Canis lupus familiaris: one gene and its partners. The protein of the gene in region 1 interacts with the protein of each later gene in a pairwise test. Links are inferred from orthologs where the notes say so. Each region holds a gene or a part of one and is shown on either strand. Other genes may lie near its edges. The genes, in order: ZC3H12A, BTRC, AHSP and P4HA3.

The links.
Region 2: the proteins of ZC3H12A (region 1) and BTRC interact in binary tests that used the Homo sapiens proteins (3 or more experiments, as listed by UniProt). The link is inferred for Canis lupus familiaris from reciprocal best matches to the Homo sapiens genes ZC3H12A and BTRC.
Region 3: the proteins of ZC3H12A (region 1) and AHSP interact in binary tests that used the Homo sapiens proteins (3 or more experiments, as listed by UniProt). The two-hybrid records come from large-scale screens. The link is inferred for Canis lupus familiaris from reciprocal best matches to the Homo sapiens genes ZC3H12A and AHSP.
Region 4: the proteins of ZC3H12A (region 1) and P4HA3 interact in binary tests that used the Homo sapiens proteins (3 or more experiments, as listed by UniProt). The two-hybrid records come from large-scale screens. The link is inferred for Canis lupus familiaris from reciprocal best matches to the Homo sapiens genes ZC3H12A and P4HA3.

What each region holds. Positions count from the first base shown.
Region 1 is NC_049236.1:5,056,319-5,060,671, forward strand, and holds the start of ZC3H12A (endoribonuclease ZC3H12A), read right to left. Parts: upstream 2,871-4,353; 5' UTR 2,785-2,870; intron 2,769-2,784; exon of another isoform or gene 2,647-2,768; intron 2,645-2,646; exon of another isoform or gene 2,508-2,644; intron 1-2,507. UniProt on the Homo sapiens protein: Endoribonuclease involved in various biological functions such as cellular inflammatory response and immune homeostasis, glial differentiation of neuroprogenitor cells, cell death of cardiomyocytes, adipogenesis and angiogenesis.
Region 2 is NC_049249.1:14,342,671-14,346,488, reverse strand, and holds part of BTRC (F-box/WD repeat-containing protein 1A), read right to left. Parts: intron 2,851-3,818; coding exon 2,740-2,850; intron 1,276-2,739; coding exon 1,197-1,275; intron 1-1,196. UniProt on the Homo sapiens protein: Substrate recognition component of a SCF (SKP1-CUL1-F-box protein) E3 ubiquitin-protein ligase complex which mediates the ubiquitination and subsequent proteasomal degradation of target proteins. Recognizes and binds to phosphorylated target proteins.
Region 3 is NC_049227.1:16,903,851-16,907,032, reverse strand, and holds AHSP (alpha-hemoglobin-stabilizing protein), read left to right. Parts: upstream 1-1,482; 5' UTR 1,483-1,565; intron 1,566-1,732; 5' UTR 1,733-1,736; coding exon 1,737-1,811; intron 1,812-2,032; coding exon 2,033-2,236; 3' UTR 2,237-2,401; downstream 2,402-3,182. UniProt on the Homo sapiens protein: Acts as a chaperone to prevent the harmful aggregation of alpha-hemoglobin during normal erythroid cell development. Specifically protects free alpha-hemoglobin from precipitation.
Region 4 is NC_049242.1:24,105,103-24,109,382, reverse strand, and holds the start of P4HA3 (prolyl 4-hydroxylase subunit alpha-3), read right to left. Parts: upstream 2,805-4,280; 5' UTR 2,790-2,804; coding exon 2,590-2,789; intron 2,584-2,589; exon of another isoform or gene 2,450-2,583; intron 1-2,449. UniProt on the Homo sapiens protein: Catalyzes the post-translational formation of 4-hydroxyproline in -Xaa-Pro-Gly- sequences in collagens and other proteins.

The DNA of each region.
Region 1 (4,353 bases):
TCCGCCCCGGTCACGCCCCGGGCCCCGCCCCGGGATGCCAGGCCCCGCCCCCGACGCTACGAGGCCCCGCCCCGGGTTGCCCGGCCCCGCCCCCCCCGCCCGGCCCCGCCCCCGCAGCCCGAGCGCGCTCGCCGGCGGGGCCCGAGGTCGGGGGCGGGGCAGGGCCGCGGCGGCCGCTACGTGCGCGGGGCGGGAGCGCACCCCCCGGGGCCCAGCCGGGCGCGCGCGGACTCCCCGGGGTGCGCTCGGCGCCGCGCGACCCCTACGCCCCGGCGGCCCCCGCTCGGCCACGGGCGCCTCGAGTGACCCGGGTGCACGGAGGTCGCCCCACCCGCCGCTGGAGGTCGGTCCGCAGCGGCAGACCCGGGCTCCCCCCCCGCCCCCCCGCCCCCGACCGAGCCGGGAACACGCAACAGGTGCACCGGGACCGCAGCGGGGACACGGGGGGGGCGGTGAGGACACTGGCCGGGATGGACCAGCACAGCCAGGAAGTACCCTCGATGGGGGTGAAAAAGCAGCAGAGAGGTGCTTACAGCGGTCACCGTGAGTGTGCACACTGTGCTTTGCACACGCATGCACACACACACACCCCCACGGGGAGGACGCTTTCGGGGCCGGGTCAGGCAGTCCTGGGCTCTGAGCGGAGCACAGCGCTTCCCACTACCCACCTCTTGGGCTTAGGTGAGGAAGACAGACAGACTGCTGTGCCCATTGGACCCCCCAGAAGTTCAGAAAGCGCTTAATTGCCCCATCTGGAAAGGATTGGGACTAGGGCCAGGAGCTCCTCATCCAGGGACCAGCTGCCACCTTTGCCACTTTCGAAACCACCAGTGAGTGACTCTGGGCAGAGGGGAGACTTGTGTGTGACACGATGGGGCCTGACCCCTGCTCTCAAGTGTGTGTTTATTTTTTCTTTTTAAGATTTATTTATTTATTTATTTATTTATTGATAGACATAGAGAGAGAGAGAGGCACAGACACAGGAGGAGGGAGAAGCAGGCTCTCCGCCGGGAGCCTGACGTGGGACTCGATCCCAGGACTCCAGGATCATACCCTGGGCCAAAGGCAGGCGCTAAACCACTGAGCCACTCAGGGATCCGAAGTGTGTGTGTTTAAAAAGGGAACACAGAGATCCCTGGATGGCTCAGTGGCTAAGCATCTGCCTTAGGCCCACGGTGTAGCCCTGGAGTCCCAGGATCAAGTCCCACATCAGGCTCCCTGCGTGGAGCCTGCTTCTCCCTCTGCCTGTGTCTCTGCCTCTCTCTCTCTCTGTCTCTCTGTCTCTTATGAATAAATAAATAAAATCTTTAAAAAAAAAAAAAAGGGAACACAACCCACAAGCTGGAGGACACAGCCTGAGCCGCCCTACCTACACCAGCTCCCTTTGGAGATGGGGAAACAGGTTCAGGGAGCCGGGTCCCTGGGAACAGAGCTGCCTCCCCCACGCCTGGGCCCCATAGGGAATTAGTGGGACAGCCGGAAGCTTCGATGTGAAGACACCATATACGCTGCACGGGGACAGCGGAACGGATGATAGTAACAACAGTAAGATATTCGCATGTCCACTAGCTCATTACAAAATGAGACCCAGGACCTCTGTGGGGCTCAGTAGTTGAGCGTCTGTCTTCAGCTCAGGGGTGATCCCGGGGTCCTGGGATCGGGTCCCGCATGGGCCCCCTGCATGGAGCCTGGTTCTCCCTCTGCCTGTGTCTCTGCCTCTCTCTCTGTGTGTCTCATGAATAAATAAATAAAATCTAATAAATAAATAAATACATACATTTATATAAACAAGACCTATACCAGTACCTTTAAGACCTTCCACTTGCCTCCACTGCAGCCTCCTCCCTCATCCCGAAGGACGACTTTCCTGAATTTTGTTTTAATTATGCTAATCATTTCCTCAATGTGTCTCTTAGTTTTACCAACCTTGGTAGAAATCCCAAGATAACAAGTTGTTTAGTTGGGTTTTGCTTTTTGGGGTGCAAAGGGCATCGTTCTATAGTTATATGACTCCCCTTTTCCACACAGCATTGTTGTTCTTTTTAATTTAAGCTTTTATTTTCAGCTAGTCTCTACACCCGATGTGGAGCTCCAACCCACATCCCCAAGATCAAGAGTCACAGGTTTCACCGACAGAGCCAGCCAGGCAACACCACATTGCTTTTTAAAATACATTTCTGGGGGATCCCTGGGTGGCTCAGCGTTTTAGCACCTGCCTTTGGCTCAGGGCATGATCCCGGGGTCCCGGGATCAAGTCCCACATCAGGCTCCCCGCCGGGAGCCTGCTTCTCCCTCTGCCTGTGTCTCTGCCTCTCTCTGTGTGTCTCTCGTGAATAAATAAATCAGATCTTTAAAAAAAAAAAAAGAAAGAAAATGCCTTTCTATTGCCTGTATACCTATAACTTACTCATTTGGTGATTGAATAACATTCTATTTTAGGAATATACCACTGGTCATTCAGCCATTCTGTTACTGGATGTTATTTCTGGGATTTGTTATTTACTTACCTATGTGGCTATTACCAGGAGTGTGCTTTGGATATCCTCGTACGTAATCTTAACTAGAGTCGCAGAAACAGAGTGAAGTCACTGGCCCAGGGGCCCGGAGCTAGTGGGGCTGGGATTCGCAGAGCTCTGAGGTACCCACCTCCAGTACCTGCCTGTCTCAGGAGGTCACGGAAGACCCAGGGAGGAGGGAACGTGCGTGCATCTCTAGCCAGGCCCTGAAGCTGCTCCTCCGGACTTGCCTGACCCCATGTACCCAAGTCCCTGCTTTGTTACCTACCTTAACTCTAAAGACCCCAAACGGTTCCCTCCTGCGCCCTCCAGGCATAGCAACCCCGGGGGCTGACCCCAAGCCAGGCACAGAGGGCAAACAAAGCCCCCTTTCCGGGGGGGGGGGGGGGGGGGAGTCACAATGGTCTCAGCTCCTGTTGAGCACCCTGTCTGCTGTGCCCCCATCTTCACGGGAACCCTTTTAACATTAAGCTCAGTGACATTAGGTGTTTACTCGGCCTCATAACTACTTTTAAGATAGTAAAAATATTGAGAAACAAGGCCAGGTTGATCACCGTAATGATGATACGTCAACCCCAGCAAGAATGCCTCACATTTGGGGACTGCTCGCTGGGCCGCAGGCCTCGGGCCAGCGCTCTGCATGTGCCTCGTCCTTGGCTGGGAGTGCCCTCCTCTCCTCCCCGCCCCCGACGGCTGCCTGCCCGGTTCCATTCATCTTTTTTGATGATGTCACCTCCTCCGGGAGGCCCGCCGAGACTCTTCCAGTGCTCCTCTGCTCCCACCGCGCCCGGCCCGTGTCCCTACGTTCTGGATTGTGATTGCCCGCAGGGGACCTCCTCCGGGAGGTCCGGCGCTGCGCCAATTGTAGCCGGCACGACCGGGTGATGAGTCACGAAGCTCCGTCCCCTCCCAAAGCTAGCCGCGCGAGCCAGAGTCTCACTCTCTTCCGGCTCAGGAAGGCGGCTCTTTCCTGAGAAGCTGACTCTTCTGCAGAATCCAGAATCCGGGGAACCCCTGCTCCACTTACAGCTGGATTTTGCAAACCTTGGCCCTGATTCCCGGGAGCATTCTGGATGTGATGATGCCCAGCCCACGCCTGCATCTTGGAGGCTGGGCTTGCCAGCTTCCTTCCCGGAACCTGCCTGCTTTCTTGCCACCTGCCTGCATCTGGCCGGCCTGGGTGAGGTCTTCAGGGGTCCCAGACTGGCCCACCCCCTGGGCGAGGGATGGGGGACCCGGAGAGAGAAAGGTGCTAGGAATTACCTTGGCTTTTGATGGTTCCATTGGGCAGCTCATGGGGGGAGGGTGTTACCTGTTTAGGAAGGGTGGGCAGGCTGCCCTCAAGGCCTTGGCACAGAGGTTAAATTCATCCAGGACTTACAGAAGCAGAGAAAAAAATCAGGTCCCTCCCCTGTTTTTTTGATGTTCCTCATATATTTTTTTATTTTTTTTTCTCATATATTTTTTTAAAGTTATTTTTTAATTTAAAAAAATGTACGTAATCTCTACATGGGACTGGAACTCACAACCCAAGGATCAAGAGTCACATGCTTCTCTGACGGAGCCAGTCCGGCACCTCATCTCCTAGTATATTTTAAGAAGACATCACAGTAGAGCTACAAAAGGATTGAGGTATGCTTTAAACAGCAGTGGAAAAAAATAAATAAATAAACAGTAGTGGAACGAAGTAACTTTTTTCATCATGTGCTCAGATGCAGTGGGACTACAGTACACGATATATCAGCAGGATCTTTTTTCTTTTTTAGGATTTTATTTATTTATTCATAATAGACATAGAGAGAGAGAGAGAGGCAGAGACACGGGCAGAGGGAGAAGC
Region 2 (3,818 bases), on another chromosome or scaffold:
CAGTGGAATACTACTCAGCAATACAAAAGAACTAAGCACGAACACATGCAACAACATGAATGACTCTCAAATGAAGTGAATAAAGCCAAATGCAAAAAGCTACATACTGTATGACTTTATAGGACATTCATAAAATGGCAAAAATCAGAATAGTGGCTAGGGGTGTGGGAGAGGGTAGTGCTATGAAGCGGTATAATTTTTGGGGTGTTAGAAATGTTCTAGATCTCGATCAAGGTGTTTACACACTGCAAAATTCAGAAAAACACACTGAAAAAGGGTAAATTTTGCTGTATGTAAATTACACCTCATTTAGACTTAGATTAATTTTAAATGAATGAAAGTATACATTTTAAAAAACATGTCTGAAACATGCAGGTAAAGTAGGTCTGATGCTGCAACAATGAGCTTTAAATCCAATCAGGAAGACAAAGAAACATCTCTCTCTCTCTTCTCCAGAGCAGAGGCTGCCAAATGTTGAGAGTTAGGATTCAGAACACTGGGCTTCAAATGCTAGCTCTCATCTTTACCCTGAGTTGTGCTCCCTGGTGCCCCACCTAATTTTCTTTTTCCAATGGCAGCAGCTTTTAACCTTAGGCCATTTTCTCATCCGGGCCTTTGGTGAACACCATGATAAAGAATTTAGCACTTTCAAAGGTGACTTTCTTCCTTTTGAGTCACTTCTTTCCTCAAATGTCAAGATGTTTATGGCAAGGAATAAAAGAGATGGGATTCATGTTGCTGGAGGCAGCATGCCTTGAATAGGCTGCAGAGCCAGGGGGCTGACCGGGGGTTCACACAGACTCCCATGACACTTTTTGCAGGCACAGGTGTGTAGGTCCTCAGCTTCTGGACAGGTTCCAATTTGAGTAATTATGTTCTCTCTCCCTAAGTACCCCCTACTGTTTCTGGTGGATACAGAATCCTTATTCACTTCCTGTACTAAACTGTGGTGTAGAGTTGCTGTGCAGCTGTTAAACAGCTGCCACATTCCTTTCTATACATAGTCTCTAAAGCACTTTTGGATGAAAGGCGCTAAAAAAACATATTTTATTGTCATGTATTAGTTGCCTTTCCACTTAGTAGTAGGTTTCGTGAGCTTCTAACTATCAAATCCAGATCTGTATTCCATACCACATCAATGTTTCATTTCTTTCCCTTCCTGTTCCCCAACCCCCTCTAAACAGCAAGGTTCTTACCACAAGGGTCCGTAGACAGAGAGTCCCTGCAGGAGCACGGGGGTCCAAAGCAGCTACAAGATCCCACACTTTAATTTTTCTAAAGATCCAAAAGGGGACAAAAATCTTAATTAAAAGCAAAATTAAGGGACCATGGGAAAAATAGCAAAAAGTCATGGCAATAAATAGGTATGATGAATGTAATTTTTTTTTTGATGAATGTAATTTATATGATAAATGCAGCTCACAAGAATATATAAGAACTTTTTTTTGTTTTGGAGACTTGGTTTTTGCATTCATTCTTGGGTAGAGGTTATTGGTCTTAACAGGGGAAAAATGTACAGGTTTAACCTAAAAATGAGAAATAGGTTAGCTCTAACCAAGCTTAAGTGAATGGTAAAGTTATACCATACTTTGGGGCCAGGAAGAGATCTTATATATTAGACTCTTAAAGACTGATAGAAGAGATCACTTAGACCTAGAAACCTACAATTGTGAAGTATCTTCTTTCTGGTCAATTCTAAGAATGGCCCAGGTAACCTGAACCAGAGGACTAGAGCCCATTGAAATACTCTGGAGTTTATACAAATTCCCATATTTTGATTAAAATAAGAAAAGTTTAGCTCTTCCAAGAACCAAACATATGGTCATGTCTCCTCAAGGTAAATAACAGACAAAACCCAAGAAAGGTGGGTACAGATAAAAACCAGGGCAATCAGAAAATACCATGTAACTGGAGTATGTTCTCACACCCTGAACAATCTCCCACAGGGTAGAACAGTGATGGATGACTCAAAGCAGAGAAAATGGTCTGTTCCTACTGTATGAGTTGTCTTAATCACTGCCAGCTCCTAAACTAAGGTAATGTAGTAAGGTAGTTTCTAATATTTAAAAAGCTGCCAAGATGTGAACTATAGCCTTCCACTCCCTCATGTCAGGCATCCTGACAAGAAGAAATAATAAAGAGGCCTTCATAAGTAAATACACTTTTATGTGAGTTTACTATGTGCTTAGCATTGCCGGACATGGGATCCATTCACAACATGAATGGATTTTAAAACCATTGGAAATTAGACCGAAGAAAATAAAGATTACTGAACTTGTCACTAAAATGTTAAGAGAAGTGAAGACAAGAGAGCTGCGCTTTTAGGAATTACTCAAAGACATCAAATTCAAGAGCCTACCACATTATGCCCCAAAGATACTGCCTCCAATATTTCAGTTTTATTAATAAGTCATTATTTTACACACATATCCTGGCATACTGTGTTTTCCTAGTTCTTTGCTTTATAGGTGAATCAAAACAGATGAATGCATAACTAAATAACTAAACTGTTAATGAAAATCACCAGGAAACAAGTGCAATTAAATGACTGGGAAAAATATCTTAGAAAAGTAAACAAAGGAGAGGGGAATACATAGATGAGACACAAGAAATATTGTATCAGATCCTTTCTGTAAAATCTATAATCTTTTAGAGTCAGGGAAATACTGTATTTAACATCCTCCGGTAGGAGGAATCAAGATGTACATTTTGTTTTTTAAACCCTGTTAGCAAACTCACCCATCATAGGCCCCACTGACTATCCTCTTGTTATCAAATCGAATACAACGCACCAGTTCCTCGTGGCCTTCTAACACTCGTAAACATGCACCACATTCTATGTCCCATAATCTGGAAGAGAAAATTGAGTCAAGTGAATTTTCATGTATTCTTTTCTAAGCTTGGCATGTTATAATACACTTCATATGTCTTCAAAAAATTCCACAAAAATAAAATCAATCAATACTCATACCAAATGTATTGCTTTCAATGTAATTTATTTCCTTTCTGCTGTATAACTCAGACAGAAAAATGTATGATTTAAGTTAAAATGAAATATATATTTTCAAAGCACAATGCTTTATATAAGTCTGTAACCAGGGTCTCCAAGGCATAAAAAGGATGAATTCAATGTACCCAGTTGCCTGTGAAGGAAATGACCAAGAAAAGAAAAGTAATGCTTCCTGAAATCACCAGTAAGAATGAGATACATGGGGTAGCCCGGGTGGCTCAGCGGTTTAATGCCTCCTTCAGCCCAGGGCGTGACCCTGGAGACCTGGGGTCGAGTCCCACATCGGGCTCCCCGTGAGGAGCCTGCTTCTCCCTCTGCCTGTGTCTCTGTCTCTCATTCTCTCTATGTCTCTATGAATAAATAAATAAAATCTTAAAAAAAGAATGAGATACATAGTGTCAGTGATATCCTGCCCTCACAAAGTATGTCCACCTCTGTTACTAATGACACTTTCTCTTTTCACCCATTGTTCAGGACAATTTTTCTCTATAATGGAAACAAAAGCAAGTTCTCAAAAATGCTTACATGCTAATTAAAAAAACTGGGGGCACCTGGCTGGTTCAGTCAGAAGAACGTACAACTCTTGATTAATCTCAGGCTTGAGTTTGAGCCCCATGTTGGGTATAGAAATTACTTTAAAAAAATAAAATCTTAAAACTATATGCTTTTGGACCAATCCAAATGAAATGAAAATTTCCTTAGACCTAACAGTAGCTCTGTTGTTTTCTAAAGGAGCCTTTTTATCTTCTTAGTACTTTTTGAAGGAAGGGAAAGGATTGATAAATCTTCCAAATTCTATTCATATCTC
Region 3 (3,182 bases), on another chromosome or scaffold:
TCTATCTCAAATAATAAATATAATCTTTTATGAAATATTAGTTTCAGGTGTACAAAATAGTGATTCAACAATTCTGTATATTAAAAAAAACAATTCTGTATATTGCTCAGTGCTCATCAGGATAAATATACTCTTAATCTCCTTCATCTATTTCACCCATCCCCCAGGCCACCTCCCTGCTTCATGTCTTCCTTATGCCCCTGTTTCTTCCTCTTTATTGTATGTCTAACTTCTTTTGCTCAACATAATTATTCTGAGATTCATCCATGTTCTCATGAATACCATTAGTCTGTTCCTTTTTATTGCTGAATTAATCATATGAATTTAATTATAATTTAATTATATGAATATGCCACAATCTGTGTATCTATTCAGTGGTTATTGGACATTTAAGTTGTTCCCATTTTGGGGAATTATGAATAAAGCTGCTGTGAACATTTGCATGTAAGTGGTTTTATATATATATAAAATGTTGTATTTATTTATTCATGGGAGACACACAGAGAGAGGCAGAGACCTAGGCAAAGGGGGAAGCAGGCTCCATGCAGGGAGCCCAATGCAGGACTCAATCCTGGAACTCTGGTATCATGCCCTGAGCCAAAGGCAGACACTCAGCCGCTGAGCCACCCAGGCATCCCTGCATGTAAGTGTTTTTGTAGATGTGTATGTTCATTTCTTATGAACTATACCTAGGAGTGGAATTGCTGGGTCATGTGGTAATTGTATGTATGGAAGCAGACCAAGTATCCATCAATAGATGAATAGATAAAGAAGATGTGGTATACATACACAATGGAGTATCATTCAGCCATAAAAAAAGAATGAAATCTTGCCATTTGCAATGACATGGATGGAGCTAGAGAATTAAGTGGAACTAAGTGAAATAAGTCCGTCTGAGAAAGATAGACACTATATAATTGCACTCATATGAGGAATTTAGGAAACAAAACAAATGAGCAAGTGAAAGAGAGACAGAGACAGAGAGGGAGAGAGAGCCTCCAAGAAATAGATTCTTAACTATTGAGAACAAATGGATGGTCACCAGAGGGGAAGTGAGTAGGGGGATGGGTGAAATAGAGGATGGGAATTAAGGAGGGCACTCATCGTGATAAGCACTGGGTAATGTATGGAATTATCGAGTCCCTATATTGTACATGTGAACGTACTATAACACTGTATGTTAACTATATTGGAATTTAAATGAAATGAAATGGAAAAAAAGTATCTGTCATCCAACAGGGAGTCAGTTGATACTAATTCTTTTTGTCTGAATTTTAGTTTTGGAGTGTGGATACTGGGATGTGGGGCAGATGGCAAGGATCTGTCCTGGGTTTGGTTTTCTAGGTCTCCCTACTTATCTGTTTTTAATGGCCTTGCTATCTTTTAACTTCAGAGAAACCTCTCCCTTGTTCCCAACCCCTGGTTGACCTATCACCTTCCTTCAGGACCTAGATGTAGGGCGTTTCCCTCTTATGCTGACACTTGACTCTGCCTACATTTAGCTCAGAGAGGGACATAACACACCCTGGAAACTGTGGGTGAGACATACACCGTTGGACCTGCAGGTGAGCCAACCTGGGAGAAATGTGATCTCAGCAGAATATGATTTGAAAGATGCTGGAGAGGTGGTCCTACAAGGCACCAGAGATCTTTAAGGGAAATAAGGGAATTGGGGGAAATATGCAGGAATGAAGAAAAGGATACTTAAATTTGATCTCTTTCTCTAACGTAGGCAGATGGCTTTGCTTCAGGCCAATAAGGATCTCATTTCTACAGGAATTAAGGAATTTAATGTTCTGCTGAATCAGCAGGTGAGCCCAGGCACTGTTTCAAAGGATAGGCCTAGACTCTTGGCAGGTGGGTGAGGGCAGAGAAGGGACAATAATTTGGAACTGGGGCGTAATGGTGCAGTTAATGGCAACAATTAGAGACAGGGAATACAAGTCAGAGAAAGGAGAATGTCAGAGGTTGTGGGTTATTCTTGAATCACACAGCTGACCACATTCTCCCTCGTGATCCCCTCTCCCTGCAGGTCTTCCCTAATCCTCCTATCCCTGAAGAAGCCATGGTGACTATGGTGAATGACTGGGTGAACTTCTACATCAACTATTACAGGCAGAAGATGGTGGGGGAGCAGCAAGAGCAGGAGAAGGCTCTCCAGGAACTTCAGCAAGAGCTAAATACTCTGTCTGCCCCTTTCCTGGAGAAATATAGAGCTTTCCTGAAGCACTTATGAGCAACTAAATCACCCACTGCCTTTCTCTTAGCTCAAAACCCCAGGCCTGCATCTCTAAGAAACTCTTAAATCCTGCCTCCGAGTTCTTGGAGTGCTCAGGCTCTGCTCCTTCATGGTGTTACTCTACCTTGACACCTCAATAAAGACCAAATTGGTTTGCTGGTCTTCCTGTCTCTTCTGTTCTTTTTCAGTTGTTGGTCCCTGACTTGTGGAGGCAGTTGGTTCCTTTTCCTTTAGCTCTATTTCCTAGATATGATCTTGGATATTTAATTCCTTTAGAGCAGAGGTTAGCAGCCTTAAGTAACCACTGGGCAATACTAAAATAGCCTGAATGACAGGCCAGGCAGGCGGAGAGAAAGTGTTGGGGTGTTAGAATCATAAAAATAAAAAAAATAAAAGGAAAAGAAAAAAGAAGCTCTCTAGAAATTGTGGCCCTGTGAAATTCTTGTTGAAAGACTTCCAGTCTTGTTCATCCTACAGTAGGTGAAATCAAGAGGCCACTCATCTCAATTTTCGAATTCCTTGCCCTTAGCCCCAGCTTGAACAAAGTTCTAGGATCTCAGAACTCTAATACCACAGAATACCTCCCTGGAGTATCGCTGTGAGAGTTGGAAAGGATCTTGGGAACCATTCAATACATCCCTTATTTTTCAGATAGGAAAACCTTTGGCTCTGAATCCCTCAGCCTCAGATCCTAGGCTTGGGAAGCATAGATTCCTGTTCTCCTCTGGGCCCTAAACTTCTCCTGCCATTCCCAGTACTAGATCTCTTTTCTCTTCAACCTCTAAACATTGCAAACGTCTTCATTTTAGGGTGCAATCACGGTGCAGTCAGTCTGATGAGTGTTTAAAAAATGAAATGAAGGTGTTAGAAAAAGGAATGTCCGGCAAGCTTTGCAACATCTGCGGAAAGCCTCACGGGTGCACAGCACCAGTGCGCAGGGGAG
Region 4 (4,280 bases), on another chromosome or scaffold:
CAGTAAAGGAGACCAGCATTGGAGCCCCTCACTCCCTCCACCAGTCACTTTGATCCACACTGCAAACTTTCTGTTCTGAACCTGTTCCGTGAGAGGCCCAGCATCATGATCTTGAACCCTCATCTCTATCTGAGCCACCCAAATAAAGAGATTAGTGGTATGAGAATGAGCACATGGGTAGCAGGGAACATGCTGGAATCTCAAATTAAAGAGAAGAGTTTTTTATTCCCACCAATAAACCTAGACTCCAATGCATGGACTAAGAACAGAATTAGAACATTTTGCTTGACGCCTGGGTGGCTCAGTTGGTTAAGTGCCTGCCTTTGGCTCAGGTGATGATCCTTTGGTCCTGGGATCCAGCCCCACCTCAGGCTTCCTGCTCAGCAGAGTCTGCTTCTCCCTCCCCGTGCTCTTGTGCTCTTACGCATGTTCTCTTTCTCCCTCTTAAATAAATAAACAGAATATTTTTAAAAAATTTAAAAAATAAAACATTTTGCTTTATAGAGTAGGCCCATAAAACACTGGACAACTATGCAACTCTAAAGAGTGACAAGAATTATTGAAATTTTTATCTTTTGATTGAAATTATTGAAATTATTATCTTTTACTGTTATAATACACATATATTTTACTGTTATAATACACATATATTTTGTGTATGTGCATGTGTGTATATTCACACTATTTCAAACTAATAGTAAATTTATTTATTTGTTTATTTATTTATTATTATTTTTTAAGATTTTATTTATTCATGACAGACACAAAGAGGCAGAGACACGGCAGAGGGAGAAAGCAGGCTCCCTGCAAGGAGCCTGATGTGGGACTCCATTGCAGGACCCTGGCATCACGACCTGAGCCAAAGGCAGATGCTCAACCACTGAGCCACCCAGGCGTCCCCTAATAGTAAATTTAAAATGAATATAACTGTTTCTATGCAAGCTACATACTTAAGAGGATATACCAAATTACATCATCATTCAGTCACCACTGATTAACAAACAAGGTCTTTCACACTGTGTGTGTTTGATTCTCTCCAACAGGGGCTCTCTCACACAGTCATGGTGTCCCACACGCCTTCTTCCCATTCTTCGCATTCGCCCCAGAATTAGTATTACTATCACATACGCTCGCCCAGTTTTATCAGCAGTACATTGTGAGACAGCTCTCTGTTTTGTCAGCTCAGCAAAGGGTCAGATGATGTAAGAGTTATATTAATGTATTCAGATAGCAATGTGGTTACACCACTGTTTGTAGGCTTCTTCATGTCTGGAGCAGAGAACACACAACACAATGCATCACATAATACAATCATTCATTTTTCATAGTTTGGCACTGACAGTCAATACAGGATTGCAGTGCCCCAATGTGCCAAGTCTATAGTATTTTATGCCACGGTGTGTAGCACTAGAGTTTGCTGATTGTATAGCAAAGAGAATTAGCTGAGCATCTGCTTGTGTGTGCCACACTTAGAATCCCCCAGTATCAAGTATGGTTTTCCCCTAGTTTTTTCTTGGCGTCAATATACATATATTATTTTTTTAAAGATTTTTATTTATTTATTTATGAGAGACACAAAGAGAGAGAGAGAGAGAGAGGTAGAGACACAGGCAGAGGGGGAAGCAGGCTCCATGCAGGGAGCCTGATGTGGGACTCGATCCGGGGGTCTCCAGGATCGGGCCCTGGGCTGAAGGCGGCGCTAAACCGCTGAGCCACCCGGGCTGCCCAATATACATATATTAAATCGCAGTTTTCTTGTATTTAGAATTGAGAGAGCTCTTATGTGTGGGAAGAGAAGGGAGAGTTGCAAGCAAAGGAGACAATGGACATCTCTGATTAATAATCATGATGCTACAGACTCCAAGCTCCCTGAGGGAAGGATTGGGTCTTGCTCACCATTTTATCCCCACTGCCTGGAAGAGCGGTTGGCTCATAACAGGCACTCAAACAGGCGTGTTGAAAGAGTTAATGAACACGAAGCCTTATTCATAAAGTGAGCAGTACCATCAGCATCCAGGGTGATGCAAAGATGTCCATAGCTTCGTGCCCATCCAGACCCAAAGGCATGTAAATCTCACCCATGGTCACAGAACGTCACCTCATGCTAACCACCGGTTCTCGGTCACACACAGGGCTACAGGCACACAGTATTTTCTCCCTCTACTTTTGCAGTCTGCTGTGTCCCTGTGACACAGAGCCGGAGGCCCACACAGCTTGCCACCGCGCCTTGCGAGGTCCTCCTGGTCCTGAGTCACTCCCGCCACACTTCCACAGCGCATCAGGTAGGCCGTGTGAGGATGGACCTGGGATGCGACTGTGGGTGCACGACGGAGTGGAAGGCTCCACGCTGTGCGACACAGCGTCTCGGGGTCCCCCGCAGGGTGACCCGGGGGCTGACGGTCACACCGGGCCACGGAGTCTCAGCCTCCCGGTCCGGAGAGGCTCTTACCCAGGCTCCAACCGGGTCCGGGGTCCCACGCTGGGTGACTGAGACTGAGCCACTCGCCCCGAGAGCACGCGCCTCGGTCTCGCCCTCTGACTCGGTCTCCCCGCCGCAGGCGCCTCGGCGGCTCCCGCGCGCGTCCTCACCTGGTCAGGTCCCGCAGCCGCGCCTCTTCCCCGCGCAGGTAGCGCCGCAGCAGCGTCAGCAGCCGGCGCTCGGGCCCCAGGGCGCGCGCCACGCTGGTCAGCGCCGAGAAGGTGTCCCCCCGCGCCGCGGCCCCTGCCGGGTCCCCCGCCCGGAGCGCCAGCACCGCCAGCAGCGCCGCCAGCCCCGCCGCGGGGCCCATCGCCGGCTCCCGCGCGCGGCCTCCTCGGACGGTCCGCTCGGCTCCCGGCGCGCGCCGCTCCCGCCCGGCCCGCCCCGCCCCGCCCCTCCGCCCCGCCCCGCCCCTCCGCCCCGCCCCGCCCCTCCACGGCCCGCCCCGCCCCGCCCCGCCCTCGCCCCGCCCCTCCACGGCCCGCCCCGCCCCTCCACGGCCCGCCCCTCCACGGCCCGCCCCGCCCCTCCCACCCCCCTCCCCCCACCCCGCCCGGCCCATGGCCCGCCCCCCCCCCCCCCCCCCCCCCGTTCCCGGGCTCCGACGCCTCGGCCCGCTCTCCCGCACCCGCTCTCCTGCCCCCTCGCCCCCCCGTCCGCAATGTCCGCCCGCCCGCCTGCCACCACGTCGCAGCCCTGGCAGGTGTTTGCCGCGGTGCCGGGTCACACTCGGGGGAAACAGGCGAGGACTGGGGTGGGGGGTGGGGGTGGGAGGATGAATTCACTGGTCTGTGAACAACGCGACGCCATCCCCCAGATAGTCACCCCTCTGGATCGGGTGGAAATGCAACAACACTACTGGATTCTGATCGGGAAATCCAGGAGAGTGAATGATGTGATTGGTGATGACGATGTGGGTGCAGAGCTGTGGAGGAGCAGAGGGAAGGAAACACCTCCCAGAAGACTTGACATCTGAACCATCATGAAAGACGGGCAGAGTCGGACCTCAGGTAAAGAGGGTGAAGGCGATTAGGGTCACTGCCTGACAAATCGAGGACCTGCCAAACCTAAAACTGGGGTCCTGGATCATTGCCCTATACCATGTACCTATGGCCACTTTAAGCAAAAAAGTTACTATTATCCTATTAGGCTACTTATCCTTTTCCCCACCTTCCCAGGCAACTTCCATTCCTTCATTCAACAAGTATTTACCACCTCTGTCACTGTGCTGAAGACACGGAGAAATAGCACACCCAACCTGGACTCACAAGGGAAAACAGATGTAAACCAGGAACCACAATAAAGTGCTATCAGGATAAGAAGAATCAAAAGAAATTGTCTGGAAGATGATAGGCAAGGGAGGGATGGGCTTTCCTGGCAGAAGGTACCTATGTGTACCCAGGTTTGGAGATGAAAAAATAGTTTTGAGTTCCAGAAATGATGGAACTGTGGTTGGAACTGTCAGATTTATTGTCATTGCATGACATACTCAGAAACTTAGCCTATTCTCTATGAAAATCCAATGGAAGTTTAAGGTAGCAATAACAGTAATAACAGCAACTGTAAAAATAATAGTTAATACTTACTGAACACTTCCTGTGTGCTAGGCATTGTCCAAGCATTTTACATGTGTTAGCTCATTTTATTCTCGTATTAACTCTATAGCATAGGTAGTATTATCAGTCCCATTTTACAAATAAGAAGATTGGGGCATAGAAAGGATAAATAAAACACTCAATGTTAATTATCCATTGATTACATTCAGAGGTGTGCTGGTAAACTGGCTCTCCAGGAAAAGAAA